Linked DNA regions of Nothobranchius furzeri. The protein of the gene in region 2 interacts with the protein of the main gene of each other region in a pairwise test. Links are inferred from orthologs where the notes say so. Each region holds a gene or a part of one and is shown on either strand. Other genes may lie near its edges.

Region 1 (7,388 bases), on a different chromosome or scaffold from region 2:
CCTCAAGCAGAGGAAACATCTCAGGATGTAGAAACGACTAAAACTGGTTTAAGTTATTAAAAACTGGTCTGATGAGTCCAGATGGACCCTGTTCCAGAGTGATGGTGCATCAGGGTAAGAAGAGAGGCAGATGAAGTGATGCACCCATCATGCCTACTGTAAGCCTGTGGGGGCAGTGTCATGATCTGTGGTGGCTGCAGTGTGTCAGGTCTAGGTTCAGCAACAGGATGTGCTCCAAGAATGAGGTCAGCTGCCAGCTGTGGGCGATGGTGGCACAGGAGTTAAGTGCTCGCCCCGTAATCGGAAGGTTGCAGGTTCGAGCCCCGCTCAGTCTGTCGCTGTCAATGTGTCCTTGGGCAAGACACTTAACCCACGTTGCCTGCTGGTGGTGGTCGGAGGGACCGGTGGCACCAGTGCTCGGCAGCCTCGCCTCAGTCAGTGCACCCCAGGGCAGCTGTGGCTACATCGTAGCTCATCACCACCAGCGTGTGAATGGGTGAACGACTGGTTGTGTTGTGAAGCGCCTTGGGGGGTTCCAGGACTCTAGAAGTCACCATATCAAATACAGGCCTCTTGAATGACCAGGTTATTCCATCTTCCCTGACGGCACGGGCATATTCCAAGATGACAATGCCAGGATTCATCGGGCTCAGATAGTGAAAGAGTGGTTCAGGGACCATGAGACATCGTTTCCACATATGGATTGGCCACCACAGAGTCCAGACCTTAACCCCGTTGAGAATTGTTGAGTTATCTGGGGTCACGTCTTGAAAAATGACCATTTTTGGATTTGAAGCTATAAAGTTTTGGAACAGCTGGACAAGAGGACCACCTCTAAGACATTTGCTCTTCCTTTAATTGCAGTTGGACATTATTCAGAAGTTTAATGTTCTTGAGACTGTGGATGGGGACACGTGAAGATAATTAATGAATAAGACATGATAATATGAGCGACAACCAGAGTCCAGCAGTTTCCAGAGTGGTTAGAGGACAACTCTAATATTAAGGTTTATCATTGTTAGATGAAAGCACCTTTCTCTTTTTGGACATGAAAGACAACCGAGGACACCATGGAGTTTTAGACGGATGAGATCAAATTGGAGCTTTTTGGCAAACGCCTCATCTCTATGATCACAAACACAAGCTCGGTTCTGCTCTGCTGCATCTGGACCAGAGTCTTGAATCTGTTCAGGGTCCAAATGAAATCTTAGGACTATCAATGTTCCGAAACATTCTAGTGTTTCAACCATAAAGCGGATGATTTCAGAAAAATTTGAAGAGTTTGGGGGCCTGTCTACTTTGTAGAAGGCATCAGCACCAAATCAGGATGTTGCCACCACCATGCTTAACAACTGGTTCAGTCTTGGATCGTTTTAAACAGCCCAGTCTGGTCCGATGAGAAAACTTTCCTAAAGGAGACATTTTTGTCCACGAGGACAGTCGAGTTAGAAGGTATCTCTTGACACAGTCAAAGTCAAACTCCTGAACCAAATTCTTTTTTCCATCCAGAATAAAACCAATCACAGAAACCCCAGAATCAGGAAGTCGATTAAGTCTGGCACAAAGTAAATAAGCAAAATTAATATTTACCGACTCAAAATAATCGTTTTATTCCCGCTGTGGAGAAAAACACCAGCTCAACAGTATCCACCTCACCGCTTCCTGCTGAACAACAAGCGGTAAATGAACATCTGACCCTGGATGTTTAAAACTGATGCAACAACAGAATCATTTATGTCCCTTTAACCATCCCAGCAAACAAGAAGGGCCTTTGTTCTCAAAATTAAATAAAAATAAAATCTCCATCAGTCCTTTGCTTCCTCCTCATCTGCCGACCTTGCCCAGCCTGTGGTCCGTCTTTGGGTCGGCTATGATGGCCTGAACGGCGACGATGGCCTCGTTGATCTTTGTCTGCAGCTCTCGTAGCTCCTCGATGTGCAGCAGGCGCAGGATCTGGGCCGCCTCGTTCAGGGTCGCATCTGAGGTCGGAGAACCACGGAGGTCAGTTTTTCTCTTCTACACCGATGGGTGTTGTGGTAGCCAAACACAAAAACTCACCTCCAGTGTCAAAACCCAAAACGTGTTTGTCTAAAGCCACCGGGACTCCCTGGGGACAAAAGAGAAAGTATGAAGCTTAAAGATCAGAATCACAAGCTGAAGGTGATCCAGAACAAAATGTTTTCTTTCAGATTTACTGATCATCGATTTAAATGAAACAACATGGGCTAAGAAAATAAATAAATAAAGACTTCACGTGACATTTTTATAGTGTGTACACTCAAAAAAAATCATAGAACAGCTCAGGACTTCTGAAGAGTGTTTCTGGTTAAATGTCGTCTAGTTGTTGTGGAAAGGCCTTTGAAAACCCTCAGTTTAGAGAAATGGAGATTAGCTAATTGTGACAAGCTAGCAGCTAGTCAAAATGAGGCTAATTATAAAATGTCTTAAAATAACTACAATCTCTAAATCATGCAAATACTTTTTTACAATTAATACTGTCATAAATGTCATGTTTTGTAGTTAATCTAGCACAGTGGTTCTCAATTAGTGAGGCGGGGCGGCTTGAGAGTCCACGTAAGTAGAAGCCATATTCAACACGTACCTTGACATCACTGAAAAGAATTGAGGACAACTGTTTAAGCAGAAATATTATGAAAAGCCAGCCAGAAGCACCATGTGTGTAAATAATAGGGGTGTGTATTGGTGAAATTACGGCGATACGATACACATCATGATACAGGGAAGACGATACAATACATCACGATATATTGCGATACATTCGATATTAACGACTTTTTTTAGACTGAATTTATCATAGTGAAATTCAACAAACAATCCAAACCGATACTAACATGTTTAACATGAGGTATCTGAACCATAATGGAGGGATTTGCATTTCAACGGTGGAAACAAAACCCACTGGCACACTGCTGCCAACTAGTGATCGGCGTTTGAATTGCACCAAAAGAAATGAAAATACACAAATGTTTGTATGTAAATTCTTCCAAAAATTAGATACACTGCTTTTGAATATCGATATATCGCAGAAAACTATACCGCAATATATTGCGATATCGATATTTTCGATACACCACTTTTGAAAATCGATATATCACTGAAAAAAATATCACGATATATTGCCATATCAATATTTTCTGACAACCCTAGTAAATTATTATTATTATTATTTAATAACTGATATATTTTTAACTAGAGCGTTTTAAAAATTGCAAACTCTTTCTCCAAACTGAGGCCATTCAAAGAACTCCCTACAGCTGGTAAGATACTAACTGTTCACAGAAACACAGAAAAATGTTTAACGTTATCTTCAAGACTAATAAGGTCATTTTCTTGACCATTTTAGCTAATTCTACCATTTCTGTTTAATTGACTAGTTTGTTGCTGTTTTACAGTGTAACGTGTACCTCTCTGTTCTGGTTGGCTTTTGTGATGGCCTCTGGTGAAAGTCTCTCCTGGATCAGGATGCGGATAGCCTGCCGAGTGAAAACATTAGGAAACGTCACAAAGTAAACAACTTGAGCACATTCAGGGATGATGTAGACACGCATACAGCTCACCTTGAGCATGACCAGGTAATCGTCGTGTCGTTGGATCTTTAGAATGTTCGCCAGAGCGGTGACTCCTGCTTTAAAATCTGGAGAACTGCCTGAAATGTATTTATTTTTTATTAGACCTTTAGGTGATGAATGAAACGTTAAAAGGTAGTAACAGCAAAGATGTGTTCCTGCTTACTGTCCAGGTTGATGAGAGGATCCACGGCTCTGTCGCCGTTCCCCGAAGCGGCCAGCGGCGGGCAGTTTTTATACTTATCAACTACAAAACAAAACACCCAGAATAAGGAAAAAACGCCATCATATAATAACCTAATTATAATTCAGCTTTCTATGCGTGTTGGCATTATTTCCTTTGTTATGGCCCCCTCTATTGGTCGTGGTCGGTATTTCAACCATTGACACGCCACATCAAAGCTGTGATTTCTGAATAAATATCATTTTAGGAGGTTTTTACAGATAAACGATCACATCAGATACCGTTGTCTCCATATTCATAACGCACAGCCAGCCCCAGTAACCAGTCCAAAGCCTCCTTACGCTCCTGGACTCCAAATGGACAGGTCAGGTCCTGCAGGTACTACACACACACACACACACACACACACACACACACACACACACACACACACACACACACACACACACACACACGCACGCACACGCGCACACACACACACACACACACACGTAAGCTCTAGTTGGGACTCTTGTTAGGAGATAAGCTCTGAGATAGTCTCACCTTCTCATAGGCTTTGGGCCACTCAGAGCTGGGGATGTTCCTAAGGTTGCCCCGGTCTTCGATCTTGTAGTGTCGGATCTTCTGGTCCTCCAGCCACACGATGCAGTTTCTGAAGTGAGTTTCATCTGACAAAAGCGGATGCGTCACTATTTTACTGGTTTTATGAAAACACATAATTTTTTTAATCACCATCTGCTGTTATACACTCTGATAATTAGTGAAGCAAAGGAGTCCAGCTGTTTAACTGATAAATATAGCCCAATGAGACACACGGTCATCGTTTAGTCTGCTAGACTAGCAAAATACATCCCTAGAAATGAAGCTATCTTACAAATATTAATGCCGAATACACATGTGGTGTGTTTTTGATTGATTTATGAAGATATTAAAGCTGATAAAACACGTGTGCTACTAAAACTGAGCACAACCTTAAAATAGTCTATTTGTAGCGTTTAGTTCGCCGCCTCAGGACTTCGTGCTAACTTGGTTCCATTAAAACTCACCGAACCTCCTAAACAGCCTGTTTATTGCTTACCTGAGCAGTCGAACCCGCTGGGATCGTGATAATCTAGAGCTGTTAGTTTTCTGCGAAACATTTCACGAAGTTTTAATGTGAAACCCTTCGTTGTTTCTAAATAATTAAACCTTAAATGACCACTACGTTGCTAGCTCAGTGTGCGGCAGCGCGCATGCGTTGTCGGAGTTGAGTATTTCCGGTTGTGCTTTCCAAAATAAGAGCTAACAACGAATTCACATCTGAAACAAGTGTCTTATTACGTCACAGGATGGATGCTACTCTGAAGGAACGAACTGGTTTAGTAAAGGAAGTGTATGGAGAGGCCAGGAAAAAGGGGACCTTTGCCATTGTCTCTTTTTCAAATACCCACATTTGAGTTTGTTGAAGCATACGTCCATTACTTTAAGCTTGTAGACACCAAAGAGCTTGAAATAACGTTATCCGTGGTCTATCTTTTTCTTTAAAATGACTTAATACCAGCTCAGTGGTCTAGTGGTAGTGTGTCCGCCCTGTCTGGAATTCGGGGTTCAAATCCCAGTCGTGTCACACCAAAGACTTTAAGAATGGGACCCAATGCCTCCTTGCTTGACACTCAACTTTAAAATGGTTGGATTGGGGGTTAAACCACCAACTGGTTCCTGAGCACAGCCATAATTACAGCTCACCCATCCCTATGGCGATGGGTCAAATGTGGAGATGGCACCTTAACTTAAATACATAGTTTATATAACGAAACAGAGAAGTCTCTATACAAATTTGCAAAAAAAAAAAAAAAAAAAACTTTTTAAATTAAGGATTATCATTCAAGTGAGTTTGGTATGTTTGATCAAAACTGGTCTGTTTTTGCAAATTAACTCTTCACAAACACACATTATTGATATTAACTACTCAACAACAGTCTATAGGGAAAAAACAGCTTTATTAAACATGAAGAATTATAAAATGAGGCTAAACTACTCAAGAGAACCCAAAAACAGATGTATCGCTTCATGTGCGTTCAGAAGGGCCTCATGCGTTGGTTGAGGGGCGGGGCTCTGTTGGGCGGTGTGATGGCTATGTCCAAATAGTCTCCAATCTGGAACCGCTGGGACTGCAGCGTCATGGAGTCTTCCAAACCCTTCCTGCCAGACATGGTACTGCCGATCTCTTTTAACCTGAACATTGTAAAAAGAGATGCACAAACTCAGTCCACAGGAATTCATGAACAATAGTATGATTTTACGACCCCGATCTGTGTTGCTCGACACTTACTTGTACATTTTCCCTCTGGGTTCTGGATAGACTATGGCAAAGCTGAAGTGGGTCCCCTTTTTCCTGGCCTCTGGATACACTTCCTTCACTAAACCAGTTAGTTCCTTCAGAGTAGCATCCATCCTGTGATGTAAACAAACACTTGTTTCAGAGGTTCTGTAGCATATACCAGAAACGTAATGGTTTGTAAGTCTTACCAAGTGTAGATTTGCAACTCGCTGGAAGGAACGTTCCCTCTAGAAAATTCCTCTATTCTGTGGTGTCGGCCACTGTTGGTAGTAAATACTCTCAGGAGGAGGGGGCAGGTCTGAAGGAAACAAGAAAACTAAGTTAAACATAAGCAAAAGTACAAATAAATATCACATTCTTTACATGTGATTTAAATATATGAACACATTTAGAATAACTGATGTAAATGTCAGTGTTATTTCAATGATTCAACTGGATTTTTTTTTTACATAAACCTTATTTTGAAAGTTTTCATCAGGGCAAAGTGAGTTCCGAAGTGAGTCTTCGCTGCCCCCTGGTGGCCGTAATAAGTACCTACAGCTGATAGAAAGAAATGGCTTTTTAAGATTGCCATCTGGTTCCTGATTAAGAAATTTAGTGAACTTTTCTGCAACCTTTTAATGCACATGTGGGAAAAATGTTTTTATTAGGCTGAACCCAAAAACAGAAATTACAATTTTTTTACAGAATAAGAAAAGTTATCTTAAACTATATTTGAAATATGATTGCCCTTTTCTATTAAGCATTTCTTATTGTAAAATATTTATTTATATCAATTCTTTATTATTGTAAATTATCCAATAGAAACTTATTTGTTTTCGCAGGTATAAGTCTACAGCAAATAAAATCAATTTATAATTCACAAATATCCGTTATTTTTTCTTATGGTCAACCCTTTTTCTCCTGCTAAACGTAAATAATAGACAATTACATCTACCTTCGTTTATTTATTTAACAGTTTTATTTGTGTTTCTGCTGTTTATTACTCTTGTGCTTGCGCGTTAAAAAGCACAAATAAAAATACTTGCTTTTTTTAAGTTTATTTATCTGCCTTAAGAACAATAAAAATGCAGGCTTAAAAGTATTATTTTCAACTTTCAAATGTAACCATGTTTATCTGTTCAGGGAAAACCGACTCATTTACAATACTGAAAACATTTAGAGGTCTTTTCATGTAAAGCGTTGCTAGCATTAGCTTATTAGCATGCTAGACGGTGCCGTCGAGATAAATCATACACAATTTTAATTTATTTAGTTCAAATAAAACATTTACGACACAGAATTGAGAACGGCTACA
Region 2 (7,288 bases):
GCTTGTGCTGTCGCCAGACTCCATTTTTGACTACAGCTAAAAAAACTACAGCGTCGCGGACGTCACACACGGCGGTGCTCAGTTTGTCATAAACAGCGAAGACGGCGGCGGAGTTCGCTGCGACTCTTTCCTCTGTTATAAATGACTCAGATGTCTTTAAAAACACAAGCAGAAACGCTAAAAGCATTTGTTCTAAAAAATAAAAGATCTTTGCGCCGTTGCCAGACGCTATTTTTTTACTACAATAAGAAGTCTACCGCATCGTGCGGTACAGTCGGGATTTCCGTCTTTTTTCTGATTGGTTACTTTTGAGCTGCCTAGTCCCGCCCCTCAAGTGCCTCTCTGCCTGTGAGAGAATTAAACAGAGGACGAGTCTGGCAGGCCAGGCTAACTAAAATAACCTGAACTTTAAACACTGTAGAACAAAGACTAAAGATAAATTAACTAAGGATAAATGAAGTGACTAAAGGGAAACCCGAAGAAGCTGGGGACCAAAAGGGGGGCATAGAAGATTAGGGGACACATGAGGGGAACCAGGAGGGGGCTGGGGACCACAGGGACACAGAACATGACACAAAAACCTTTTTTGGGTCGCCGGACGGTGTGGGGATGTTTAGAACGTATAACTGGCTTCACTGGTGGACATGAATGACCCCTTATAGACTCCAAGGCAGAGAGGAAAATGATCTCTGCCTGCCCTAAACAAAGTCTTGTTTATCCTTATCTGACGCCAAGGCAGCCTCTCAAGGCTGCTCAACACTCCCCCACGAAAGGAGGAATGCTGACAGATGCTGTGTCCCGACCGTTCCCCCCCCCCCCCCGCCTTCAGATTGTGACTTCTGCTTCGAGGTCAGCAACCTGCAGGAAACTCAATGTGCTCTCTGTCCCTCATCCCTCCCTCCCACCTGTTTGACTGCAGCTGACTGAGCGCCATAATGGCAGCTCCCGTTGGAGGATTCAGGATCCCGCCCAACCCCGCCTCCCCATCGGACTCTGACGTTTTGTAACTGTGATGTTCGTGCTTCTATGTTGAGGAGTTTTTTTTTGTATAATAGAGCTACTCCCCGCTGGGTCTAACTCTTTTATGCCTTTTTTTTTTACCTTACCCCAATTATCCTCATGCAACACCCTTTCCATCTAATGAAATGAGCGCCATTCTGGCTGCTCTCGTGACTGCCTGTACCTGTTTCTGTCTACATGTGCGTCTGTTTAACCTTGGTCAGGTTGTGTTTGCGGACTCAAGTTCCTATGCACTGGGTCGCTGGAGCGCTGGCAATAAAGCTTATTCTGATTCTGATTCTGATTTTCTCTTGCTTTTAAACAACTGTTTGATTGACTCTAATGAATTAATGATTATTTCTTCTGTTTTGAACATTTTCTGCCTGTTTTGCAGACTGCAGGAGGAGGAGCAGGTGTTAAACCTGTCCATCAAGGAAGCTACAGCTAAAGTAAGCCCCTGCTCCTCTCACCTGATTTGTTTCCTTAACCGCTCAGCCTCCTCGCTGCTTGCCCACAGTGACTGAATGTGTATGAAAGCCTAATAGTCAGAGCAGACAGTAAGTGCCACTGTCGGAGTGCTCAAAATGCAAACTAAATGTCAGTCTGCATTCTTGTGATCTTTTTTGATTTGACAAAGCAGTGATCTCTTCACCGCTGCGTGCTGGAGTCAGAAGCAGCAGGATGTGCCATTTTGAACAGCTTTTTTTTCCCAAGTGAAATAGGGATGTTAAAGATAAAGCTGTCAGATTTTTTCTTTTGAGTAGAGGAAGTACATAATAAAGTAAAAATAGAAGTCTGGTCAGTATGGTGTGTTTTTGTTTACTCTCATTTGCTCCACAGGGATTGGACGTTCCCCTTTTATGCTAATAAAGCTTCTGCAGCTGGAAAAAAAAAGGCAAAAAAGTGTAAGAAATTGCAGTTTACAAACAGCAGGTATGAGAGGTCACGTGTCCTTTAGAAACCCATCATCAAACCACCGGTTTGCTGCACTTCAAAGCAACGTTCGCACTTCCACCAGTCGCAAGAGTTTCCATTGTTATGTTAGGAATGAAAAGTTTGGTTCTTAAATGAAATACCCACCATGTGGAAAACGGCACACTTGCTGTGACGGAACGATTCCCGGCATGAAAGTGACTCTCATTCTCTCCGCTTTTGCAAAATTGACAAAGCCTGATGTTTGGAAATGAAATCGTCGGTGTCAGAATTTCTACAGACGGCAGAAAGTGCTCCACAGAGCTTCTTGCATGAAGTCAAAAATTTCAAGCCTGTTTTGCTTTATTTCTGTGGGAGGAAAGAGAAAAAAAAGCCTCCCTGGAGATGTTCTGCCTGTGAAATACCAATCTATTTGACAACCATGTGCAGAACTGTGTCAGATTCCAGAAGAGGAATAAATGCATAAGAAGATCCACTTCTAGGTATCTTTGAGGTGTGAAAACAATTCTTCAAAAGAAACGAGGATTTTATGTGAATGCAGCTAAAAGTGTGTATGCTTAGGAGCAGAGTGGATGGATCGGATCTTTAAAAAAACTCCATAAATTCTGCTCTGAGCGGCAGCTTCTCATCCCAAAAACCTGCTCTGACTTTCTAATAGTCCATATATTATATGAAAATAAGCCTTTTGTGTCATCTCTAGAGGTTTTTGATGAGGAGAGATGATTCTCGGCTGTGCATTCAGAGCAGAACAGACGCTGAAATGCAGATAAACCTGTAAGGTCGTCAAAGAATGAGTTTCAGATAGAAAATGAAGGCAGACGAGGAAATGAGCAGTGCATCATGTGGGATCCATGCCTGTGCAAAGGTTTTGCTAGTTACCACCCTCCCCATCTCACTCCTCTGCATCTTCTTCTCCTCTTTATCCCCAGGTGGTCATGAGTCAGAGGCTGGGCAGCAGCCTGAGGAGAAAAGTCAGCGAGACCGACACGCAGCTTTTGGCGCTGCATGAAGCCAAACTGGCAGCCATCTCTGGTAACTTTCCACTGAGCTTTACCTCCAAAACCTCCCTGCTACATTACGCATCCTTTCATTTACCCCATTTGCTCGAATCGCTCACCATTAGCCTTGCTTGATTACCCCATTAATGCTCAAGAAGCTCATTAATAGGCGGTGAGAGTGTAATGCCCTCCTGTGGTGCACCGGCGCAGGTAATGACTTCAGCAGCGCCAAGGAGCTGAAGGCTGAGATGAAGGCGGTGTACCTGGAGCGGGACCGGCTGGAGGCTTTGGCCAAGAGGCTGCACAGCCTCAGCTCAGGGAGCAGCCAGGAGCTGGCCGGGATGAAGGAGCAGCGGCAGCAGCTCAGGCAGGAGCTGGAGCAGAGGGAGGCGCAGCACGGTGAGTCTCTGAGGCCTCCTGCAGGTAACAGGATGTTAATAAAATCAACAGCTCTTTCCTGTGATTCAACACTTCTATAGTGAAGAGCTCACCTGGTCATTAACTAGATGCCTGCAAACTGTTATGCTTTACTTTCCTTCCCAACTTAAACCAATACAAGGATGAAAACCTTTTATTAACAACAAACAAGCACCCAGAGAATTCCCTGCGGACTGCCTGAATGTTTTGATGTAAAAACACCACTACAACACCAACGCCGACAGATTATACGTGCTTACTTTGATTTAATGAGGTAAGCAGCAGTTGCTTGGCTAGAACGCTAAAAACCAGCCAATAAATCTAACATGATGTTTTTTCTAGTTTTAAGCAGTCTAGCCACGCAACCTTTTGTTTCTCCAATTGGCGGAATTTTTTTACCCAAAAATTATAAAATTAATAAAAAATATGAAGAATAACATGTCCATTTTTTTATTTTCACTTTCTTGTTGCACCACCAAAAAAAGGAGAATGACCAAACTTGTCGCTCTGTCAGCTCAAGCATCCCGCGTGGCTCCTCTAAACCCCCGCCGCTACTGCCTCCACGCTTATTTAAAACATTGGCAGTGATCTCTAGTTATACGTTTCGTGTCACACGCTGGAGAGAAAATCCTCCAGTGCACCTGTTTCGGGAACTAAAAGTGAGCCAAATCAAAGTTGAGCTTCAAATGATGATTTGGATTCTTACTTCCCGATATTTGGACACCTCGACGTAGACATGCGATTGGCTGACAGCAACGCCACTCCACCGCTGACCCCATTTGCTCTGCAACGTTGATGTTTTATCTCCACACATAAAACAAGCCTGGAGGAGTTCTGCTGTGTGGTGCTAATGCTAACGGTTAGCTTCTACTCGTCAAAATGTGCTCTGCTGTTTCCTGGATGCTGAACTGTCGCGAGTCGAGATCAAGGACAGTGTGACGTGAATCTGTCAGGCTTGACTAACTCTAGAGTTTCACCGTGTGTTTTCTGTTCGAAGGAAATGCAGGAAACAGGGATGGAATACTATTTTCACATTCAGAGTAACCGATCATTTAAAAAAACTATTTGTACCGTAATTTCCGGACTATAGAGCGCACCTCAATATAAGCCGCACCTGGCTTAAAGCCGCAGATATCTACTGGATAGAAGACGTAGTCTAACTGAACGTAACTGAACTGATCAGTATCAGACAAAACAGAAAAGTTACTGATTAGTTTGTTCATCGTCCTCCTGCGCTCTGAAACCACTGAAGTCATCTTCTTCTTCAGTGTCGGAGTTGAGCAGCCTCAGAAGAGCTTCGTCACGCACCTTTTCTGTGGCGATGTCCGTGTCATCATCCCGGGTGAAGCTGGGAAAACAAGCGGCGCCGTTTTACTGTGAAAAACCCCTCCTGGGTGCTTTCCGTAGCGCTCCTTTAACCATTCCTTCATTAGACTTTCCAGCATCCATCCTTTCTGGTGGACTAAAGCCGCACCTCATGGTAAGCCGCGTGGTTCAAAGCGTGGGGGAAAAGTAGCGGCTTATAGTCCGGAAAATAAGGTAATAAGGGTTAAGGAGAACCCTGAATGTGTCAAATAAAACAACCGATCCTGGGTCACTCAGGATGGAAACCCAACCCTCTCGCCATTATCACTCCACTGACCTGTTCTTTATATCTCCACAGCAAAGTTCTAGCAGATACACATGTTGACCACGTCATAAACACACGCCTCGTTGCAGATCTGCTGTTTGTTCAGATGCATTTCTAAAAGTGATCATTTATGCATCAGTTGTAGTAAATCAGTGGTTCCCAAACTTATTTAGCCGCGCACCCCCTTCTATGTCCCGACCATGTCGACGCACCCCCCCCCCCCCCCACACACACACACATCACGGCATGGCTATATATATATATATATATAGATAGATAGATAGATAGATAGATAGATAGATAGATAGATAGATAGATAGATAGATAGATAGATAGATAGATAGATAGATAGATAAATAGATAGATAGATATCAGACGTCAAGCTAAACAGACAGGGTTAAAAAAAATATGATCGACCTTTTTCCCCATCACTTTCATTTTTTAAATAGTAATTAATAAACATTCGATACCATTACAATTTCCTTTGATTTAATTTTAAATAAATATTTAGAGTGCCCAGGTAGCACATAAACAATGCAATTTAACGGTTTTCTTAAAGTAGGAACGTTTAATCTGTGCGGCCAGAGCGCTCTCCTTCCTTCTGCTCTGCGTAAACCTGAGCTGATCACCTACTTGTGCGTAATCAAATGTCTATAGGGGAAAAGCTTTAGCCATGAGGTTCACTTTTGCCTCAGACCGACTTATTGCTGTTTTATGGTGTGGCTGAATCTGCGATCCGCTGCCACGCGGACTGGAACAACATGCTGCAGGTTCGGAGTCACTGGCTGGAGCGGACCCGACTTTAATACATCATCCCAAAATAGAAGCTAATATCTTAATTTGACCTGGAATGAAAAATGTTGATATAAAACCTCTTAAAAGTTTTTATCACAGAGGAGGCAGCGCTCATTTCTGCCTTCAGTCTGACGGTATCAGTCTGGCGCGCCGGAGTTTGCGCAGCGTGCACTTATTGAATCTCTGTGTGTGTGTGTGTGTGTGTGTGTGCGCGCAGCACAGCTCCACGAAGCTTGGTTTATGCTTGACGCATTCACTTTCCGCTTGGTGATGCGTCTCGCGGAGGGAACGCGCTTCACAACTTGCAGCGTTTAAGTCACTGTGTCTCGTTATTGGCGCTATTTAAACCAACGTTGTAAAATGACTTCTGCCCAGCCCAGATGTGCTCACTTGTGCACCCGTGAGCCGTGGTTCCGGAACGCGTCTGACCTCTGACAGACGCACTCTAAACTTCAGATCTTCAGCGCGTGTGAGGTTTACAATGTCAGAACACCTGCATGAGACAGGTGTTAATTACAATCTGCCAGAATGACTCGCCACCTTCAGATTCCTCCAACACCGTTAAAATGATCAAATACGGAACATATCGGCGTGCGCAGGCCAGAGTGCTGAAGCTCGGCGCATTGTTATTATGAAGCTAGGGCACATGCGGAGGACACACACACACACACAAGTAAAATATACTTGTTTTCAATTACATTTATTGGGCCCACTTACTTTTTCTTTGGCCCACCCACAAATGAGTTTCTGGCTACGCTAATGGTGACACCTGACAGACTTCTCTGAGCTCCGCAGCCATTACACTTTTCATCTCGCGCACCCCCTAGCGGCAGCTCGCGCACCCCCGGGGGTGCGCGCACCACACTTTGGGAATCCCTGTAGTAAATCTACATTTTGCTTTCTCCTCTCTCACCGCTTTCTGACTTATTATAATTCAGAACATGAGTTTGTTTGAGTCCAAGCAGTCGTTTGCAGTATTGATACTGAACGCACCGATATCACAATAACAATGAACTATTGAAGTCCGGCGCTAAGCTAAACCTTGGTGCAAAACAAGCAATTCAAGGAACTCTACAAAGAACCCAGTGTCCTCCCAATGCGCCACACTTGAATGAAGCTGTTTTTAATTTGTTCTTATCTTCATCTTTTTATTTGATTATCTTCAGCTTTCACCGTTTTTTGTGATAGCTTTCATTTGTCGCGTCTTTTTTTTTTTTTTTTACTGTTTTTTGATCTTTTGATATTTGTTTTGTTTTCATCGTGATTTATGATGGTGTTAAGCACATTGGGCTTCTGACAAGGTTGTGGAAGGTGCTTCATAAATAAAATAAAATTGAATTTGCTTTTCTTAACCTTCAGGAGCCAAAGGACCCTAAGGTCACTCCTCTGTCTACGGAAAACAGCCAGTGCACCTTAAAATGTAGTTTGTGCACTTGCTGTTGCAACAAACTGAGGGTTTCTTGCTGAAAACATGACAACTTTCAAAAAGAAAAACATGAGTAAAGCTAAAAAAGCA

Evidence for each region. The genes of interacting proteins can lie anywhere in the genome.
Region 1: the proteins of disc1 (region 2) and rtraf interact in a two-hybrid assay, tested with the Homo sapiens proteins (2 studies listed by BioGRID and IntAct). The link is inferred for Nothobranchius furzeri from reciprocal best matches to the Homo sapiens genes DISC1 and RTRAF.

Annotation. Positions count from the first base shown.
Region 1 is NC_091754.1:55,849,813-55,857,200, reverse strand, and holds rtraf (RNA transcription, translation and transport factor protein), read right to left. Parts: upstream 5,033-7,388; 5' UTR 4,911-5,032; coding exon 4,850-4,910; intron 4,440-4,849; coding exon 4,315-4,439; intron 4,153-4,314; coding exon 4,053-4,152; intron 3,835-4,052; coding exon 3,754-3,834; intron 3,668-3,753; coding exon 3,579-3,667; intron 3,495-3,578; coding exon 3,426-3,494; intron 2,108-3,425; coding exon 2,059-2,107; intron 1,980-2,058; coding exon 1,825-1,979; 3' UTR 1,586-1,824; downstream 1-1,585. Other genes in the region: histone deacetylase complex subunit SAP18, read right to left, coding at 5,829-5,985, 6,083-6,205, 6,280-6,389. UniProt on the Homo sapiens protein: RNA-binding protein involved in modulation of mRNA transcription by Polymerase II. Component of the tRNA-splicing ligase complex and is required for tRNA ligation.
Region 2 is NC_091752.1:2,346,171-2,353,458, forward strand, and holds part of disc1 (disrupted in schizophrenia 1 protein), read left to right. Parts: intron 1-1,393; coding exon 1,394-1,448; intron 1,449-2,861; coding exon 2,862-2,964; intron 2,965-3,140; coding exon 3,141-3,329; intron 3,330-7,288. UniProt on the Homo sapiens protein: Involved in the regulation of multiple aspects of embryonic and adult neurogenesis. Required for neural progenitor proliferation in the ventrical/subventrical zone during embryonic brain development and in the adult dentate gyrus of the hippocampus.